2 linked regions of the Neodiprion lecontei genome follow. The protein of the gene in region 1 purifies or fractionates together with the protein of each later gene. This does not show direct contact. Links are inferred from orthologs where the notes say so. Each region holds a gene or a part of one and is shown in the gene's direction. Other genes may lie near its edges. The genes, in order: polyadenylate-binding protein 1 and eukaryotic translation initiation factor 4 gamma 1.

Region 1 (4,875 bases):
GTTGTGCTCTACCACAATTGTTGTAGCTTGTGCCGTACTACACAATTTATCACTAACATTGGATAATGCTCTTCCGGAAGATAATCGCATCGAGGAAGAAGAAGCGGATGAATTGCCACCTCAAGCACCGCATTGGCAGCCTGGAGAGGGTTTTGCAATACGCGAAGCTCTAATCGAACGGTTATTCATTTAATCAAAATATATGTATATCAAGTTAATTTAATTGTAAAGACTAATTGATTTTAGAATGAATATACTCCAAATATTTAATAAAATTGAATTTAATCTGTACAAACAGTTAACATTAGAATACATATTTTACTCATAACTTATCATTGGTTCTCATTTTATTTTTAAACCCCTCACTTACTCATGAAAATACTGATATGTACGTAATTGTACTAAGCGTCAGTCTTATAGTTACGATAATACTTATGAAAATTTGTCTACGTAAAAATATTCAATACATTATAAATACAGCCAGTAAATAGAACTAAAGTTGCTCTTTTGAACTTTGAAGATCAAAGGTTGTCCCTTTCACGCGCATTTTTTTGCAAGTCTGCACCGGGATTCCTTTTAACATATCAATACAATTTATTTATCAATAACCGGTATAGAGATTTACATAATGATATAGGTTAAAATATGTGTATATAAAAATTATATACACATAAACATACACTATAAAATTCTTTTTCTTCTTCTTCGTTTTATAGCTATACACCCACTACAAAAAATTGTACGCGATTTGTTCCCGTTTTTTAGTTCCTCTACGTGGCGCTAACGTTGTTGTGTTCATAAACTATAAAAATACTCAAGAGCTGCATGCCTATACGAATATCTTGCACAGGCTGAGAAATAAAATCCGAGCATCTTATTGGGGGATACATCGGAAATATTCCGAACATAACCGAACGTCGAATAAGACCGTCTCAAGCTCAGTCTTCGTCAAGACGGTCTTGAATGAAATAAGCTAGCGCTTGAGACCAAATTCTTGACGAAGACCGTCTTGTTTTCCGACTATGAATACATAGCATCTCAAGACGGTCTTGAACGAATAAGACGATCTTCACCAAGACGGTCTTAAGCACCGCCTTGAGACCTGACTATGAATACGGGCCTTAGATTCCGTTTGCTTTTTTTTGCCATTTTGGTATTTCTTTTTCTCGCCGTGGTGTTGTGGAACACCTTTAACAGACATTCTTGCGTCACTGCGTAGTTCATGACTGCTGTGAATTCCGATGCCTAACTAGACGCGACAGCTGTGAGCTGCCTGAAGATTACTGAGGGTGGCTACAACTTATCGGACAATTTCTTCAACAGCCTATTTAATGTGGCGAATTTTCGCTGATATAGCAGATACGATGGAAATTACAATGTTTTTCATTTATTGACTGAATTTTCACCATGATTCCGAATTCATTTATCAAGTCGGTAGGCGTAGGAAACTGTAATTATCTCCGCGCCGCAAGCATACAGCGTCCGGTGAAAATGAAAATAGTACCTGAAAACAAGCGCGTAACAGTCGCGTGGCCAATAGCGACGAATTTTGGATACGACGCGAGTCGATTGAAATGGGATTAAATATTTATTGATGCTTGTAGAGTTGATGGAAAACTGATAAAACAAATCCAATTGCATTAACAATTGTATCGAGATAAATTTTTACCGTTGAATACCGTACTATTCCAGGTTTGTGCGTATCGGGGAACTACTTGTCGGCGTAGGAAATGGCGTTCTACGGTTTCGTATATAACTGTGACGCGGACGGCCTGACTGCCTCTTCGTCATTAAGAGTAGAGTTGTTTTCACGTGTGGTTGTGTCTCCTTTTTCCTAAAAAAAATAGGTCACACAACCCACCTCCATTCGTGAATTAACTCTTCTATATTAAAAAAACATAAAATACAAAAAAAACAAAAAATCCACTACTAAAAAAACCCTCATCCTCATCCCCCACCCCAAAAAAATCTATAAAAAATCTTTAAAAATAAAAAACAAAAAAATCGTAAAACCGTAGTGTGAAAATCGCGAAACTTGTGAAGATATTAAAAAAAGATATAAACACCTTGATATATCAAGTTGTGTGAAGAAGGGAAAAATAGAGATTTGAAAATAATAAAAAAAAGAAGAAGCCAATAAAGGTGTTAACAAGAAGAAGAAGGAAACGGAAATAAAACAAGACAACGTGTGTGTGACAATTATTTGCGTTTTATTATAAGAAAAAGAAAATCTAAAAATATCTAAAAATATACAAAATTCGCAAAAGGAAGGAAATTAAATTTATTAAAATCAAGAAGATTAACCAAGGCCAAGAAAAGTCGGTAATAAAATAAGACACCTAATAAATATCCTTGTTGGTTTTGATACAGCATATAGAAGAAGGTGAAAAAATCATTGATACCAGCTGCTGATAGAAGGAAGAAAAGAAACGTCTGGAGAGAATTTGCATGGGGAAAAATCACACGGGCAAATAACAAGCCATATTGAAGGCGAGAAGTATCGTACGATCGTGATAAGTAAGAAAGTGAACAGAAATGAATCCAGGAGCGCCTAATTATCCGATGGCATCGCTGTACGTCGGTGATCTGCACTCGGATATAACCGAAGCAATGCTGTTTGAAAAATTTTCATCGGCAGGCCCAGTGCTGTCGATACGCGTGTGCAGAGATATGATCACTCGCCGCTCCCTTGGCTACGCATACGTTAACTTCCAGCAGCCAGCCGACGGTCAGTATTTCGGTAATTGACGCTAGATTGTTGTTCGTAGTTTTGTAGAACCTACGAGGCTATCCGTCCGTCCCAGATTTCCTGAAAATTTCGCGTCCTCATCCCGTTTCCAAGCCGTGACACGTGCATTCTGTCGTTTTCGTCCGCCATATTGGATTTTATTCTGTCTCCCACAATGGCGTCGATTCCTCCCTCCCTGTTAACCTCCTATACTCTCCCTCCTTACGGCCTCTGCACATAGAATTCCATAAGTCATGAGCAGGATGCAGCAGCCGTTGCGCCATTTTTTCTGGTCTGTCCTCATTTCTGATTCGTCAATATGACGTTTATCAACCGTTTACCGGTCCAAGAGAACTGAAATTATGCCACTAGTGTCTCATTATGCACGAAAATTCACACTTCGTGAGCATACCGGACTGCGAAACCTGTGCTGACGGAATGAAAATTTTACAGACTGAATCCCACAAGCCATAAGCAGAATGCGGAATTAGCATTGCAGTTTTCTATCTGAGGTTCCAATTTAAGTATTGAAAAAAATTATCCACACTTTGCGGGTAAATTAATAGATCCGATCGCGAACTCTCGTTCATGAAGTGTAGAGTTTTATACAGATTGAATTCCGTAAGCCATAACAAGAATGCAGGAAATGAATGGCGATGTACTATGGCCCCTGGATCCCGCTTGTGCCTTATATAATTATGCGTGCTGCTTAATTCAGCAATCACTTCGCATGCTGGCGACTACACGGCTTGATATCGACGAGGAGAATAATCCGAGAGAAAGAAAGAAGAGAAATGCCTGATGCGTGTCGCGGAATGAATAACAATAATTCGAACGGTCGCCGGTGGATATGTCACGTGACCCACTCGTGTATGCCACAGACGTTACATGTATATGGGGCATTCCACGTTAAATTAGCAGCCAACGTATCTCACTTCCTTCGATTTTAATCATTTTTAGTTATTATGTGATGTTCTTACCAATCCAAAAGAGTTTCGGGAATTTTTTGATTTTCTACAGCCACTGGTGATATTTACGAAAAATTGCAAAATAAATTCCAAAAAAGCCATTTTTATAAATCTGAAACAATTCACAGAAATTCCATGATTTGAAATGTGATTTTTAAGCATCACACGATAGTGGGATCTCAATATTTACTATTTTTTGCGCAAGTTTTTAGTTTTTCCATGTCGAAATTGTTACACACACACACATGCATGTATATGTGTTTGTGTGTGCATATGTTAATGTAAGTATATATAAGGTCCTTTATTGACCTTTGACATTAAATAACTTTTGTCAGAGTAAATTTATCATAAAATGATAACAGACCTTTGTTTGTGAAGCATGCAATTCCTTCCAAACATACGTTTTGGTCTTATCAATACACTAATGCGTTGATGAGTCATAAAATTTTGAAGTTTAAAAAAAAAATTCCAATGTTATTTAAATGGGAAATGGAAAATTGCAATGAGGCTCCTCCGAATATTAATATTAAGAGCCGATACTTAAACAGCATCTATTTTCAGCTTCAATTTCAAAAAAAAAATAGTCGATTTTTTTTATACAGTCTAATATATATATATATATATTCAAAAACTGATAACCATGTAGCGATAGTGGCGCTGAGCGCAGTTCAAAGTTCGCCTGGAGGTGTGTTCAGACCCCAGTCATCAGTTGTAGGACCTTTCGACAAAAATAGTATATATTGATTTTCGTGTGGTACTTAAAAATCACATTTCCAATCATAGAATCTATGAATTTATTCAGATTTTTGAAAATGGTGATCTTAGAATTGGTTTTTTAATTATTTTATTTTTTTTTTTACAATATTATGAAAAAAAAATTATGCTACAAAAATGAGAACAAAATTCGGAGACCCTTTCGAGTCGGTAAGAATATCATACTCGAAAATGATTAAAATCAAAGGGGTTGAGGTACAGGCTAATTGTATGTGGAATGCTCCATATGTATAAGTTGCGCACACTGTGTGAACAGATGCGTAGGTTTTTTCCTTTATTTCTTTTCCGCATTTCGCCTTGGATCTTGTATTATTATTATTATTATTTTTCTTATTCATTAAGCACTAATGCCTAGCCATTTGAACGTCTGATAGATGATTAATTTCTTATTTCCAATGGTATCAG
Region 2 (5,129 bases), on another chromosome or scaffold:
TCTTATTATTATTATTATCTAATTCTTATTCCTCAAGATTCTGGTAAATAAGTCGGCAGTCAGTTTCCTATCGGAATAATAACATCTTGTTATTGTTTTTGGCTTATAGCAAATCTAGTGAATCTCGACGTTATGTCAATTCTTGTGATTATGCATGACATTGCCTTCGGTGATGAGTAGAAGTCGAAATTTTAAGACATGAAAAGAAACATGACAAGGTTCTTAGTCGCTATGTTACACCATGCCTTTGGATGTTTTGCAATTTAAAAAACAAAAAAAAAGTAAGTAAATAAACAAAACAAAAAAAAAGACTCAGCTGATGACGAGAGTTCGTTCATCGTGCGATCTTGAGACAATCGGGCATCTGTTCGAAGGCTTGAGTGCAAATTCTTGACGACCTAGTTGAATTATACGCAACGATTGTTCGATTCAAAAGGATGCTGATAATTTTACACATTGGCATTATACAGACATCTTTTTTAGAATTCATTACGTTCTACTGCAAGGAATGGTGAAAATTATCCTTGTTATTATTCTGGTGTTATACTACACTATGATGGTGAAATATGCATACAGCATTGTAGCATAATTCTCTGAAGAGACTAATTAAGTGGCGTTTTGTTCGGCGGCACCGGAACGAGTAACAATATAAATGTATTTAGGTCACAATCTCCTTGTTAAACCTAAATTACGTTAAGCTAAATATATAACATGCGATGATACGGCAGATATTGAACGATTCTAAAAATAAAATTACGTATTTGGTGGCTCCGTACCAGAATAAATTCTATTTCGCTAGTTTCGCTTCTCCCTCGACCTCCTGTAGTATGGATATTATGTTTTATCTGCTCTAATCTCAAACAGCAAACGCTACGTGAAAACTTAGAACCCATCGGCTTTGGGAGTGTTGGTCAACAGGTCGGATGCCAACCGATACTGAAAAATGAGACTGCTTAGAAGTTTTTTTTTTTTTTTGGTAAAATTTTAAACAGCCTTTCTTATCGTCTGAAACAATAATAATCTATACCATTACGTGTACCGGAATTGAATATATAATATTTAGCTGGCACAATATACCTGTAATAATCGTTAATTATTTCTGGAATCAAATAATCCCCGCGGTAAAAGCCTTGACGTAGAATGAAAAGAATTTCATTATAGCTGTAATAGTTGACAGCGCGTCATGCGACTCGGGAATGAAAAAAGAAGGTGACGAAAAAGATCCCTCGCGGCATTGGGTAAAACAGGAATCTGCAATTGAACTTTTAATTTCAAATCTCTGTTCTACCGTCGTTCGGTTTATTTTGTAAAAATCGCTCACGCGTGATTCTAAAGAGCATAAAAAATATTTCCTCAACAAAAACCAATTTGACAGGGTAACGTTAACCGTTGAAAATAGCTTGGAAGTTTTTTGAAAATCGAACGTGTACGTTATCATCGACCATACGGTGGCAGTCGGCGGCGTGAGCTTAGACAAACTTGGTTAGCGTGCACAGAGTATAGAGTTGCAGGTATGTACACGCATGCATACAACACAATGTACGACGCGTGCACGGCGTCGGCGTGGCTCGTTGACGATAGTGAGAGATAGAGAGAGAGAGAGAGAGAGAGAGATAGAGAGTGGGGGTAGAAACACTTGACAAATGTTTCTCGGCGACGAATCGTAACGCGAGATTAAACCGAGCGTTTACGAAGTTTGACGAAAATTTCCGAAGTTTGGCGAATCGCTGCAGTGCGTGACCGTTGAGAGAGAGAGGTTCGTTTTGGTGACGCATGCGCCTTACGCGAACTCTTGCCATCTCCCTCTCCTTCTCACTCTCCGAACTTGTCTCGCACACATGAACATCGGCTAAGGTTTCACGAACGTGGGTCGAAACGGCCGACGCGGCATGCGCCTGGGTTCCCGGATCGTCGTTGTGTCAGCCTAGAAATACAACGTGGTGATTCGACGACGCGAATTCTTAGTGTGGGTGAAACTAGCGGCGGTGTAGAGGGGGTCGGGGTCTGCCCTGCATCAGTCTCTACTGCGTCCCTTCGAAAGGGGACGCTCCTCCTCGTCTTTGACAAGCGCGCGGTTAAAATACCCAATGGGGGGTTGACAGTTATCAAGGAAACTGATAGTAATATAATAAATAAATAAATTATAACTAACACGGACACACGAGTACGGATTTTTTCTAAACGACCATTTTAATCAACATATAATTCGTACGATATTGGTTACAATTTTTTAAAAAGTATACTTCGAAACCGCGATCCGAGACAGAATAATACCAAGATATATGTTTACACGTGTATGTATTGCTCTTCGTCGCAAGATCGTCCATCGGTTTTCCTAGGACACGAAACTATAGAAAAGACCGTTTGTTCCGTTGTATATTTTCAACTTTTTTTTAACGTAATTATTTTATTTGGACAATTGATTGTATTAAGTAATATTGTGCCATAATTCGCGTGTGTGTTGTCACTGTGGATTGATGAAAGTTCTCTTTTTTCATTCCCCCGCCACTTGACCGTTTCGTTTTTCCTTTTTTTTACGGTAATGTAAAAATTGAATCAGAACAAAAACTGTAGAAGATCTGAGACATCGAAACGAAAACTTTGAGGAAGAAAACGTCGAGGGTCGATTGATTCAGTGTGCTGTTTTTTTTTCATTGATGTTGTTGTTTATTTGACAATAAGTGACGTTTGGAAACGTTGGGTCTTTTTGTTGTCTCTTTTTTGTTTTAGCTCAAATTACGGTTAGTTTTCCTTTCTTCTTTCTTCTCGTTACACACAGCGCGAACGACGAGAAGCCGTACGTTGATTATTATTTACCAAGATTTTAAAACCAATTTGGAAAATATTATATGTAAACGAACACTGTATCTAGTTTATTAGTTTTATTTAACTACTGTTCGTGAAACGGGATACGACAACGACTACGAGGACGTGAAAATAAAAATTTTGTTGTATCGAGTGTTCTGCGGACGCCACAAAGCAGCGGCTCTAGTCCTAAATATCGATCTGCTGGCGTGTGCGACCTACTCTATAGTACGTTCGCCTCGAAACATATTGTGGAATGACAGTTGACAACAGTCCAGCTGTCGCTATCATCGTACAATTGACATCTGTCAATAATCATTTGTTGACTTTTACGTTGAGGTTGACGACGAGGACGACAACGACAACGACAACAACAACAACAACGCCAACGCCAACGAGTCGAATAACCGATTCTCACCGTCGAATTCAACGACAACGAGCGAGAACGTGCATTTTTTGCTCCGCCGATAATCGAGGATACCTGTAAAATTACCAACGCTTTCGCCGTAACGTTGTTAACGGTGGAATTTTTTTGAAGACATTCCGTTTGTTTTCCATTTAGTTCTTTTTTTTGTTTTTACAAGAAGAACGTACGTCGAGAGTAAAAAAAAAAGGTCAAAAAAAAGGAAGTACAATACGAATAGAAAAAATGTGGGCGATAGTAAAAATCGGCAGGACTTTGCTCAGAGTTTCTTCGCGTTCGATAAAATCAAGTCAAAGCTTTATCGGAACTTAAAGAAGGAAAAGATTGAAGAAACAACGCAACGCAAGTCAACTATTATTGTGCTATTGTAGTACTACCGGCGAAGAAGACAAATGAATGAAAAATTCCAATAAAGTGTAACTCTAAATTTGAGGATAAAAAGAAGAAATCGAAAAATATAAATACGGAGGCGCAAGAATAATGATTCCCCGTCAAAACTTGGTGATAAAAAAAAATTAATTTGAAGAATATTACAACGATGAGAAAATCCACCTGAGAGGAAAACAATAAGGAAGACAATTCATTATAGAAATTGATCGTTTTTTATACACGTACCGTAACACGCTCCTATTAAGAATCAGTAAGAAGTAAGGAAGAAGCTCGTAAGCTTTTGAGACAATAAAGGTGTTTCTAGACGGCTAATATCTACCGTTAATTACCAACGTCATGGTTTCGCGATACGGTGTTACGAAGGAGGGTGCAGTCGGTGTTACGGTCGGCGTCGGGACGATGCACTGTTTGCTACCCCATTGCGGTGGGCCCCACCACATGTCACCACACGGGCATAACCCGAGCCACAATCACATTCACCACCATAACCATCACAATCATCACAACCACCACCCGCCGGCATCGCCGAGTCCTCACGGTCATCTAAGTCAGATGAATCACGCCCAACATCAGTTGACAATTAATATTAACCACAATCATCAGCTGCAGTCCCAGCAGACTCAGCATCAGCAGCAACAACAACAACAACAACAACAACAACAACAACAACAACAACAACAACAACAACAACAACCTCAGTACAGGATCATCACGGCCAGTGCCAGTAAGTCCTTATTATCAGTTACTGTCAACTCACCGAATACGTTGCCAGTTTTTAATTTTACCAAAGGTGTTGATAGGTGTTGATCACACAAATGTACAGTTATACGGACCTACACGAGATGATATATATATATATATAAAATGCATAATAGAGTGTGTGTGTGTGTATATATATATATATATATATACTCTATTATGCATTTTATCAGGCTTACTAAACTCGTACGTCAAGGTGGCAGTCACGTGGACCTCATGCAGTATTAATAGAATATTCATTTATTCATGATGTACATCTATTATCGGACTTTTTGATAAACGGTCGGTTCGAGGGTGGGGATAAATGAGATCGTGGATAGTGTATAATAACGTGTAGACGTTCGCCTAGGTACGTCTTTATTTCATCGCGACGACAACGACTATTGCGATGACACGCGTTTATCAAACACCTTAGCAACGACTGACTGACATACGTCGTCTTGCATACCATACTTTTACTCCTTGTTCCTTAGGCGCTAGCCTTGCTTGTGCCCACAAGGTGAGAAGAAAACCCTAGGTGTGATGTAACTAGCTGACCAACTAATTAACTAGCCAACCAATCACCTTACTAAATAGTAAACCCCTCTCCGCACTATGAAAGAGACATTGAGACAATAGCGAGACGTGACACGTTGCCTACCGCTGCCAGTGTTCCTCGTGTCATGCTGCATTTACTTACCTAACTTGGCACCATTCTCACAACAATTCCTCCGTCGTCAATTACAATGGATACTAATTTTAAATTAGCTTT

Evidence for each region.
Region 2: the proteins of polyadenylate-binding protein 1 (region 1) and eukaryotic translation initiation factor 4 gamma 1 purify together in Drosophila melanogaster (affinity purification with western blotting; 3 studies listed by BioGRID, with this or other methods). This does not show direct contact. The link is inferred for Neodiprion lecontei from reciprocal best matches to the Drosophila melanogaster genes pAbp and eIF4G1.

What each region holds. Positions count from the first base shown.
Region 1 is NC_060264.1:21,286,617-21,291,491, forward strand, and holds the start of polyadenylate-binding protein 1, read left to right. Parts: upstream 1-1,784; 5' UTR 1,785-2,535; coding exon 2,536-2,740; intron 2,741-4,875. Other genes in the region: putative nuclease HARBI1, read left to right, coding at 1-193.
Region 2 is NC_060263.1:38,444,323-38,449,451, reverse strand, and holds the start of eukaryotic translation initiation factor 4 gamma 1, read left to right. Parts: upstream 1-2,002; 5' UTR 2,003-3,955; coding exon 3,956-4,343; intron 4,344-5,129.